3 linked regions of the Coturnix japonica genome follow. The protein of the gene in region 1 purifies or fractionates together with the protein of each later gene. This does not show direct contact. Links are inferred from orthologs where the notes say so. Each region holds a gene or a part of one and is shown in the gene's direction. Other genes may lie near its edges. The genes, in order: JUN, NFE2L2 and JDP2.

Region 1 (3,745 bases):
CCTGTGCCAGGAGTCGGGCTGTGGCCTCTATTTATCTTGTGTGTAAAGCTTAGGATGGAGCTAGGAAGCTGCTTCTAACACAGACGACTTTCAGAGGCTTTCCTATACACATGCAGTAACTGCTGCTGGAGCTACAGAGGCAGCTGGAATTACCTGCACACAGGTGCTCATTGCCTACCTGAAGGCTGTGCACACACCTGCAGCAAACACTAAGGCCCACATTTGTGGGCAAACTAATTCACTTGACTGTTAGCACAAACATGCACAGGTATTGGCTGTGTGATTCCAGCACATGGGTGAAGTGGATACACTGAGTGCAGCCAGGTGTGCACAGCAGGGAGGACCGGGAGATGACTCTATAAAAGGAGCAGTAACTTCTATCAGTCAGTGCATCCAGACATTCACTTTTAATTCACAGCTCTTTTTGATTCTGTTTATTACATTGCTCCCTCCCGTACTTTAAGTGCTAATTATGTTATTACATCTAGAAGAAAAAAAATAGCACTTAAGAGTTTTAAAGTGCATTTTCAAACCGAGACTTAAGTTTGTCAGCTTCGTATGTCACACAAAGCGATGGAGCCCAGCAGCGAAGCAGCAGCGGCAGCACTTGTTGCCCCGGGTTCCCGTCCCGTCCATCAGCCGAGCTGCGAGTCCCCGGTAGCTGTGGAGCAGCACAAACCTCCCTCCCCGACCGGATCCCTCCATCTCCAGCCGTTCCCCTTGGCCAAGCTGCGCTCACACACTAATACCAGCACAGCTCTACAACCGGGAGGACAACTTTAGGAAAACCCATCCAGAGCCAGGCTCCTTCCCGGCAGCTTTTTCCCCTCTCATACTTTGGGGAGCTCCCGGCCCTGGGAACAGACACAGCGCTCACCGCAGCGGCTGAAGGCAGGCGGGGCTGAGGGCAGCCGGGCCGCCCGTCCCCGCCCGCCGGGGCTCCCCGGGACGGGAGGAGACGAGGCCGAGCCGCCCCCACCCCAGCGCCGCCCGCCCTGCGCTGTGCCCCCGTGCGGGGCGGGGGCGGCCCCGGCGCTGTGCGCGCCCGCCCCGGCCCTGCCTGGAAGCGGCGGGGGCAGCGAGGCGGGGAAATCACGTGAGGGCTCCCCCGGAGCGCCACCTTCAGGGCCGTACCAACAACGGGACCGGGGGGGGGGAGGAGGCGGCGATGCGGCGGGACTCAACGCGACGTGGAACGGAGGAGCGCGGCCCGGCCCCGCCGCACGCAGCATCTCGGCCCCGAGCGCAGCACAACGCACGGGCTGAGGGCGCGGGGCGGCTCGGGGCGGCATCGCGGTGCCCCGGTACCCGGTAGGGCAGCGGTTGGTTGGTACGAGGCCGTCGAGCCGCCCAACCCCGCTCGGAGCTCGGGCCGCGGTAACCAGATATTCAAAAACAAGACGTCAGCCCACAATGCCCCGCGCCGCCGGCAGCATTACCTCATCCCACAAGGCCCCGCGCCGGCGCTGAGAAGCTTCTAGGGGCGGGGTGTCCATGGCGACCGGCTGCCATGCACCGCGCCGGGCCAGCGCCACGCCTCCCCCGGGACGGGCGGCGGCAGCCAATGGGGAGCGCGCGGGGTGACATCATGGGCTATTTTTAGCGGGCTCCCGGTCGCTGATAAGTGAAGGGCTGCACGGAGCGAGCGGGCTCAGAGCGGGGCGGGCGGCAGCGAGAATCAGCCGCCACAGCGGGCACGGCCGAGCGGAGCGCGGAGCCGGGAGGTACAAGCGGCAACGGCGGCAGGAGCGGCCCGGCCCGGCACAGCGCGGAGAGGCGGCCCGGGGAGCAGCACAGCGCACAGAGTACAGAGTACAGCGTACAGCGCACAGCGCACAGCGTAGGCCCGGCGGGCCCGGCCCGCGCCGGGAGGAGCGGCGTTGTCCCGGCGAGAAGTAAGGAAGGCTCCGGCTTGCTCTTTCCCCCCAAGCCGCTTGGCCGGGAGCGGTGTGGGGCGGCTCCCGGCGCCACTTTTTGGGCTCTGTTCTATGAGTGCAAAGATGGAGCCTACTTTCTACGAGGATGCACTGAACGCCAGCTTCGCGCCGCCGGAGAGCGGCGGTTATGGATATAATAACGCCAAGGTGCTGAAGCAGAGCATGACGCTGAACCTGTCCGACCCGGCCAGCAGCCTGAAGCCGCACCTGCGGAACAAGAACGCCGACATCCTCACCTCCCCCGACGTGGGGCTGCTGAAATTGGCCTCCCCGGAGCTGGAGCGGCTCATCATCCAGTCCAGCAACGGGTTAATCACCACCACGCCGACCCCGACGCAGTTCCTGTGCCCCAAGAACGTTACCGACGAACAAGAGGGGTTTGCCGAAGGCTTCGTGAGAGCGCTGGCGGAACTGCACAACCAGAACACGCTGCCCAGCGTCACCTCGGCCGCGCAACCTGTTAGCGGTGGCATGGCACCTGTGTCCTCCATGGCCGGCGGCGGCAGCTTCAACACGAGTTTGCACAGCGAGCCCCCGGTGTACGCCAACCTCAGCAACTTCAACCCCAACGCGCTCAATTCCGCACCCAACTACAATGCCAACGGCATGGGCTACGCGCCGCAGCATCACATAAACCCCCAGATGCCAGTGCAGCATCCCAGGCTTCAGGCTCTGAAAGAAGAGCCTCAGACTGTACCTGAAATGCCGGGGGAAACCCCTCCCCTGTCCCCTATTGACATGGAGTCGCAGGAGAGAATCAAAGCCGAGAGAAAACGCATGAGAAACAGAATCGCGGCGTCCAAATGCCGGAAAAGGAAGTTGGAAAGGATTGCCAGGTTGGAAGAAAAAGTGAAAACTTTGAAAGCCCAGAACTCAGAGCTGGCATCCACTGCCAACATGCTCAGAGAACAGGTTGCACAGCTTAAGCAGAAGGTCATGAACCATGTCAACAGCGGGTGCCAGCTAATGCTAACACAACAGTTGCAAACGTTTTGAAGAGACTGACTTCAATAGGAACTGTGATGTTGTGGTATAACTAAACGACAAACCAAAAGCGGCGGACGCGTAAAGCTCACGGTAGAAGCTGGGAGGCTGTGAGTCCTGCCTGCGTGCTGCAAAGCACATGTGTGCAAAGACTGGGCAGCCTTCAGCTCGAGTTGGTGAAGCAGCCGGCACCGCTCCGAGGTGCTGATCCTGCTCCCATGAGGCGACAGATCTTCGTTTAACATTGACCAAGACCTGCATGGACCTAACATTCGATGATCATTCAGTATTAAAGGTTAAACTGCAATAGAAACTGTAGATTGCTTCATGTAGTATTCCTTAAGAAACAAACAAACAAACAAAAAGCGGGAGGGAGGTTTGTGGGAGGCTGATAAACAACCAAGAACTGTTGTTCCTGCCTTCAAGTAAATGGTGTATGTACATATCCTTTTTTATTTTATTTTATGAAAGTTGATTAATGTCAATAAACTACTTCATGACTTTGTAAGTTATTTTTATGTTGTTTATTTGGGTACTGCCCAGTATTGTTTGTAAATAAGAGGCTTTTTTTTAGCACTCTGAGTTTACCATTTGTAATAAAGTATAATTTTTTTAATGTTTCTGTTTCTGGAAAAAATCTAGAAGGTTCTATTATATTTAAAAAAAAATAAAATACTTAAAATGCATTTCCTCCTCACACCTTTTTCATTATTATTATTATTATTATTATTGCTAGTATGTGAGTTAGGAAAATGCCCTTAATGCTGGACTCTAAAGGGCAGGGATTATGTGAAACTCGCTCTGTAAGTGCAGGCATGTCCTGG
Region 2 (3,745 bases), on another chromosome or scaffold:
ACTACATGAAATATACCTGGATGAATAGCCACACTAAAGCACAAGCCAGGGAATATAAGAGTGAAGAGAATCATAGAATGCCTTAGGTTGGAAAATTCCTGCCAAATCACCCAGTTCAAACCCCTGGCCATGGGCTGAGTTGCCAACTACCAGATCAGGGCCCAGAGCCCCATCCAACCTGGCCTTGAACACCTCCAGGGATGGGGCACCAGCACCTCACGGCCCTCTCAGTAAATAATTTCCTCCAAACACCTGACTGAAATCTCTCCTTTTTTAATTTAAAGGCATTCCTATTTTTCTTATCGCTATCAGATAACGTTAAACGTTAGTCCCTCTCATGCCTAAGGGCTCGCTTTAAGTGCAAGAAAGCCACTAGCAATCGAGTTTTCTTCTAAGGCAGCGCCGTGCCAGCAGAACATCTGACCGAGGAGCATTGCCATCCCATAGGACGGGCACTGCCATGACATCTCCCAAAGCATCACGTGAGATTCGGGTCTGTAAGTCAGCCGGCTGAGACACGCACGCCAACTATTTCGACACCCGTAGTATTAACGGGGGTTACAGTGCAAGAAACCACAGGTACCAGGGAATTACAGTACCCTGGGATGAGAGCCTGATGTAATAGGAAAGCACGTGTGGAGGACGCAACCAGAAAGAGCCTGGAAAGGTGCCTTTAGTGTCAATGTAGCAGACTGCCAGTGGCTCGTAGCCGTGTTTCGGGACCGGACTAATAACGTAGAACACGAAAAGAAGGTGAAACCACACACCTGGGGAACGTACCGAGGCACGGACAGAACAGCCGGCCGAGAGCACTGCTGACAGAACAGCCGGCCGAGAGCACTGCTGACAGAACAGCCGGCCGTGAGCAGTGCTGACAGAACAACCGGCCGTGAACAGTGCTGACAGAACAGCCGGCCGAGAGCAGTGCTGACAGAACAACCGGCCGCTCGCGGTGCCCGGCGCCGTGGGAGGGTCGCGTTCCCGGCACCGCCGCCACTGCCGGGAAAGGAGCCGCCTCCGCGGGCACCGCTGAGTGGCTGCGCCGAGTCGGGGCGGAGCGCGGCGGTCGCCGCTGGCTCGGCCCGGGCCGGGCCGGGCCGTCCCCGTCCCCAAACAGCGGCGGAACGAGAGCGCGGGCGGTGCCGGCCGAGCCGCCACAGCTCCACAGCTCCACGCCGCCGTTCCCGAGTCCGCGCCGCCGCCCCGCGCCATGGAGATCGAGCTGCCGCCCGCCGCACAGGTGAGGGCGCCGCGGGCACCGGGCGGGAACCGGGGCTGCGCGCCCCCGGCTCCCCCTCCCTCTTGTCCCGGCCGTTGGGGCGGGGCGGGCCGGGCGGTCACGAGGCCGGCGGGGCACGTGGTGCCGCCCCGCCCCGGGGGCAGCGCTGAGTCACGGCGGGGGCCGGGCCCCGCCCCCTCGGTACTTTCCCCGTCTCCCGGGCGGGGGGTGCTTCCCTGCCCGCTGCGCAGTTCGGGGCCAGGTCAGTCCGTGGCGAGGGGGGAGCTCGGCCCGGCCCGGCCCCGCCCCGAATACTTGTCCGGTTCCTTCTTGAGGGCCTCCCGCTGTCACGCGGCCTCAGTGGGGGCAGTTGCACAACCGCGTGTTGCCCGTGTCGGGTCGTGGGGTGCGGGGCGAGAAGGGCGCGGGGAGGGTGTGATTCTGTGAGGGGCCGTGGGGGCCGCGATGGAAGGGACCCCGCATCACTTCAGCGTCCTCCTCGGTGTGGGCCGGGGCGACTCTTGTGTCTCCTCCTGTGGGGCCACCTGTCCGCGTTGTGCTGCTCGAGCCCCACAGCCGCGGGTTGTGTCAGATCTGTACTGTAAAGGCGCTGTGTCTTTAGGTAGCTAATGGATTATCTTTTATTGGTTAAATGGAATGCTGGATGGGATTCATTTGGGATGTTGTCTATTACTAATGACACAGGTATCAAAACTGCTGAGGAAAAACGCTCTGGAACGTGAGTCAAAGTGTTTCAAGTCAAGTTCACAAAAGCATTATGTACCCATAATTGTTTACTGCTTCAGTAAGCTGAAAGGTGCTGAAATGGCTGGGCCTGGTGCTTCTAGCCTTGTCAGACAACATGACAAACTCATCAGCTCTCACTAAGCACTGAGCCTTGTGAGAAGGTGAGCAAGATTACTTTCTCATGTAGTGTTTGCACTGAACACTAAAAGTGAAGGCCAGTGTAACCATGTACTTGAGTATCTGCTCAGTGCGTGGGTTTTTCTACCTAGAAAAGAGTTTCTAGTTACATTAGAGGTATCTCTTTAGTCTGTAGGGCTTTACACAGGTATCACATGTCTGTTTTTGTGACGTACTACATAAGGTTGTCTAGTGAATGTCTGTTCCATAATGGGCTGTTCTTTCCATACGACACCGATCATGCAGGAAGTGACAAATGAGTGCACCGCTCAGGCCTGACAACAGGCCTTTGATGTGTTTTTTAGCTCAATAACTGTTAAGCATAAGTGTCTGTAGATAGATTAAGATATCTGTATGGATACCTATTTGTCCATCTATATATGTGGATACGTTTCGGTATCAGAAAACATCTATGTTTTTTGTTGGTCTCTCAGAAGGAACTGAAGGCTGAAGGAGCTGGGTGGTTCAGTGTGGAGAAGGGGAGGCTGAGGGGAGGTCTCACTGCTCCGTACAGCCGCCTGAAAGGTGGTTGCAGTGATAAAGGTGCTGGTCTTCTCTATCAGGTGACAAGAGATAGGATGTGAGGAAACTGCCTCAAGTGGCACTGAAGGAGGCTTAGATTGAATATCAAGAGCATGGAAGGGGTGGTTAGGCATTGGAACAAGCTGCTTGGGGAGGCAGTAGAGTTGCCATTGCTGGAGTTATTTAACAGACCTGTGGATGTGGTTTGGCAATGGACTTTGTGATGTTAGGTGAATGGTTGGACTTGGTCTTAGAGCAATCTTAATGATTCCATGACTCCTAAAATTACAGAGAAGAGTGGTGGAAGTAATAAGAATACTACAAGCACTGTCTTAAGTAGAAATGCATTTTTTAGACCCTTTTAATTCTGATGTGCCTACCCTGCTTATCATGCTGCACTGAAAAATCTTTCCTCAGAACTTCAGAATATCTCTCAGTTAAACCAGTGGTAGATACAATGCAGTGCAGTACCTGTGGCTGAAAGAAATGTAGACTAATAAAAGATGACCATGAGAATCCTTTCAATGCAACAGCTAATTGGATATTTTATTATTGTAGTACATATCTATCGTATGGACGCTGTTCTGTATTTTGTATTTAAAATGTGCTGGGAATTTACATTGCATGAGAAGTTGTTTGAAATACAAGGAGTTGGTTGCATTTGAAAATGGGACTTGAAGAAGCTTGCGGTTAGAACTCAAAGTAGGAGAGCACTTTGGCTTTGGAAGTTGGGGTTTTTGTTTTTGGTTGTTTTTTTGTTTGTTTGGTTTTTTTTTTTTTTTTGGAAAAATATGTGGAAGAGACCAAACTGGGACAAAATAGAACATTCAGTATAAGCAGAGAGCAGCTGGATCATCTCGTGCTTTAAAGAACTTGAGACATTTTTATAGGAGTGTGTGGGTGGTTGGGAAGCTTTGTGTATGTTTCCCACCAGAGTTCATGAGCTAGAATAAAATTTGGCTCTCTGTCCATTACTTTTTTCTTTCTTAAACCGAAAAAAGCAAAGAGAGTATAGCACTTATCCTAAATGACAATACAGAAGGTTATGTATCACCATGACAGCCAAGATCACTGTTAAAA
Region 3 (3,745 bases), on another chromosome or scaffold:
GGAGGAGGCCATCCTGCAGGCAGGGGGTACTGACAGCTTTTTGCACTTTGTGCCATGGACCCTTTCCCCAGCTCCCGTGGCTCCCTTGCAGGTGCTGCTGTTCCCATGTGCTTCATTTATCTCTGTGGCAGTGGTGGAGCTCAGCAGCCCCAGTCGGGCGGCTGTGCTTGCCCAGCGCTCCCTATCCCTCAGCAAGCACTCTGCTCGTCTGGGGCTCTTCTGTTCACTTTTACCCACTGAAACCGCAAATTCTCAATGAATTCCTATGCCCAAATGAAACTATATCTGGAAAGCAAACATGTTTTGTGTTTACATGAGGCAAAACCCATAAGCGGCAGTGAGAGCGAGGAGAATTCCCGTGTGAGATGAGAGCTGGACCTGTCCTGCGCTGTGCAGTTCTGTCCCCTGCTCAGACCCAACTGCACCGCCCGGTTTGCTGTTCCCGGGGCACAGATGGAGGGACTGGGATGTGCTGATGGAGGGGGGACTGTCAGTGATGGGCAGCGTGATCGTGCCCAGAAAGGAGCTCTGTGGGAACTGAATGGGAGCGATGATCGATGAGCCCGGAGCAGGAAGACGGAGCTGCTCTGGGAGAGCATCGATACGGGTGCATTCAGTTCCTGCAGCGGGTCTGCAGGGCTCTGCGTGAGCCGTGCTTCCCCAGCAGCCTGGCAGGTGCAGGTGAGGGAGGGCCGGCGGTGAGAGAAAGAGGAAGGAAGCGATTGGCATCCATGCAAATGAGTTATCGGGAAGGCCCCGGTCCCACGGCTGCTCCCCCGTCCCCACCTGACATCCGCCTGCAGCGCCAGCGGCCCCCGGGATGTGCCGGTGCCGGGGGCCCGAAGCAGCGGTGCCGTGAGCCGCGGGCCCTTCTGCTTCTCCCCGGCTCGCCTCCATCCCGGCCGAGGCTCGGGGCGGCCGGCTCAGCGCACAGCGGCGCACACCGGGCCGGGGCACAGCGCGGGGCAGGGGGCGGTGGGGCCGGGGGTGCCGGTACCGCCGGCTGGTCCCACCCCTGCGCGCCGCTCCCCGCCCCGCGGCCCCGCTCCCCCGCCCGCCCTCCCTGACGTGTGGCGCTGGCAGCCCAGCCGGTTCCGCATTCCCGACCCCTCCCCGCAGCCCGGGGCCGCTATATAACCGGGGCTGATGCAACCCACCCCGCCGCCCGCCACAGCCTGCGGGAGGCGCGCACCGGGGCGGCGGGGGGCGGCGGCGGGACGAGGCGCCCCGGCTGCGGCGGCCGGCACCGGGACCGACACCGGCGGCGGGCGGGGCCCGGGGGTCGGGGCAGCGCCGGGCGGCGGCGGGGCTGAGCCTGCAGCCCGCGCCCGTCCCCTGCGGCCGAGCCCCGCGGGCACCCCGGCGGCCCGCTCCCCGTGCACGGTGGGTGCGGGCGCGGCGCGGGCGGGGGGTCGCCGGGCGGGCCGGGGTGGCGGCGGGGGGCGGCGGAGCCCGGGGGCGGCCCGCGGGCGGGGTGGAGGCACGGCACGGCACGGCAGGGCCGGCGGCGCTGCGGGGATCCACCCTCCCCCCGGGTGCGGGTCGGAGCGGAGCCGCCGTCCACCCCCCACGTCGGCCCGTCCGGGTCGTGCGTGGGGACTGGCTTCGGGAAGGGGCAGAGCTCCCGCGGGGGCGGCGAGCAGCAGCACCCGGGGCCGGTGGGTGCCGCACCGCGCTGCGCTCCACCTGCCGCAGGTGGGGCTCCGCGCTGCCCCGGTGCCGTGCGGACAGCGCGCCCGGCTCGGGCCCGGGGAAGGAGTGGGGCCCTGCGAGCCCCTGCGCTCCGTGCCGTCTGCTGTAGTGCTCAGGCGTGGAGTTGAATGGAAGTCGCTTTCTTTCGCTCCGGGAGGCATTTCTCTTTTTCCATACTGCGGAAATAGGTTTGAGAGCAAATCGGGGAAAAGGAGAAATACCAAGAGAGCAAGAGCCCCATTATGTTTCCATTTTCCTTTAATGAAGGCCCTGTGGAGGTGTATTTGAAAACACAGGGTCTCCTATGCCTTCAAGGAGGGTGAGAACACAGTGCTGGCTGCTTCCAGGGCCATATGCAGCGTATGGTGGCCAATGAAATGGGGCCTGGCTCGTTCTGTTGCTTGTCTTGGCAGCCAGCTTCATGGCTTGTGTTACCAGCCCTGGAACACAACCACTGCCAAACCGTGTGTGTGTGTGTGTGTGTTTGGACTCGGAGCTCAGCAGAAACAAAAATCCAGCAGCTCAGACAGATTTTTTTTTAGCTAGTTTTGAGGCGACTTGTGTGAAGAACTCTATGTGGAAGCCATTGCCGGAGCTGCAGTGGGATCTGGCTGGTCAGTGCTTTTGGGGGACACCTGGGAATGCTGTATGTTGGAGTTCACATCCTCAGCGTGACTCCTGGTGATTCAAAAATGAGGAGAGCTGTCTCTGTGGGGGTGAGTGTGTGGGTGGGAGCTGCTGTCCAAGGCATCCCTGTGTCAGCCAGTGGCTGGCTGTCAGCTCCTTGGGTCCCTGGGATGTAATGAGGTCGGCCGGGCGCTAACTGCAGGTTGATGTTCTGCTCCTCACCGTGGATGCTTCTCCCTCCTCTGTACAGCTGAGCGTGACCTTCCCTACAGGATGCAGCAGTCTCTGCGCTGTGCTGCTGTCTGTGGAGGAGCAGATCTTCCCTCTGCTCCCTGTGCCCTCCATTGCTGCACTGTGCCCTGTTTTGCTGTTCTGAGCGGTGCTGAGCATCTGCTATGTGCTTTTTCACTATGGTGACATTTGCTGCTTCAGCTGCGTGGCCTGGGCCAGGTACTTGGCAGCATGCAGCGCTGCGAGTGTGTGAGGCTCTTAGAAGCTCTTCTCCCTAAGGAGGCTGTGCAGCAGGGCAGGGAAAACTGTGGTTTGTAGCATCCTGCAAGTGTCCCGCAGTGCGAGCCCAGTATGGGACAGGCACAGCAGGCCTGGTGCTGTCTGTCTGGGCTGCTTGCATGGATTGCTGTGTTGCACTGACTGCCCAGAAACCAGCCCAGCACTGCAGGCTGTTTGCTGTGCAGTGGGAGCTGCAGATCTGTGTGATCCTCCTGCTGAGCAGGGCTACTGCATCGAGCTGTAGCTGAGTGACCAGCATACAGCTGGCCATGTCAGCATTCTGAACGTGGCTTTTTGGGGCTTGTAGCCCTCCTTGTCCCCTGAGGTTGGAGTTCTGTGCCTGAGGAAAGTCGTCTCTTTGCAAAGATTCCAATCCTGCCCATATGCGGCTGTGGAATGCCTTGGGGGATGTCAACACATCTGCTGTTCACCTCTGTCTGAGCTGCAGCCTGGCTCAGGTCAGCGTGTTCCCTCATCCCTAATTCCATTTCAGCTGCTCTGAGCAGGAATAGGACAGCTTTCACCTTCCTGCTCTGTACTGCCCACCAGTGTGCAGTGTGGTGCTGTGAATGTTGGCCACAAATGTCTGCTCCAAAGACAGGTAATTAATTGCAATAGCTGCAAGGAGCCGTGCTGCGCTAGGTGCTGTGCAACCCCCTGCTGCTACAGGTTGCTCCAAGTCAATCACTGCATTGCAGTGGTGGGGGTATAGCATCCTGCTGATCCATAGCTTTTTACTACCCTGAGAAGGGATGGAGTGAAATGCTGGGAAAGGAGGAGGACAACTGCTTTCTCCACTCATAATGGGAATAAGTCACTGCATCAGACAGGTGTGGGACCCGGTGGTGTGATGCAGCTGGAGGGGCTGCAGCATGACAGGAGACTGTGTACCAGGCTGCCCCTGGGTGTGGTGCAA

Evidence for each region.
Region 2: the proteins of JUN (region 1) and NFE2L2 purify together in Homo sapiens (affinity purification with western blotting; 4 studies listed by BioGRID and IntAct, with this or other methods). This does not show direct contact. The link is inferred for Coturnix japonica from reciprocal best matches to the Homo sapiens genes JUN and NFE2L2.
Region 3: the proteins of JUN (region 1) and JDP2 purify together in Homo sapiens (co-immunoprecipitation; 3 studies listed by BioGRID and IntAct, with this or other methods). This does not show direct contact. The link is inferred for Coturnix japonica from reciprocal best matches to the Homo sapiens genes JUN and JDP2.

Annotation. Positions count from the first base shown.
Region 1 is NC_029523.1:23,599,500-23,603,244, reverse strand, and holds JUN (transcription factor AP-1), read left to right. Parts: upstream 1-1,464; 5' UTR 1,465-1,988; coding exon 1,989-2,933; 3' UTR 2,934-3,558; downstream 3,559-3,745. UniProt on the Homo sapiens protein: Transcription factor that recognizes and binds to the AP-1 consensus motif 5'-TGA[GC]TCA-3'.
Region 2 is NC_029522.1:14,053,171-14,056,915, forward strand, and holds the start of NFE2L2 (nuclear factor erythroid 2-related factor 2), read left to right. Parts: upstream 1-1,065; 5' UTR 1,066-1,210; coding exon 1,211-1,240; intron 1,241-1,363; exon of another isoform or gene 1,364-1,481; intron 1,482-3,745.
Region 3 is NC_029520.1:34,697,219-34,700,963, forward strand, and holds the start of JDP2 (jun dimerization protein 2), read left to right. Parts: upstream 1-1,281; 5' UTR 1,282-1,383; intron 1,384-3,745. UniProt on the Homo sapiens protein: Component of the AP-1 transcription factor that represses transactivation mediated by the Jun family of proteins.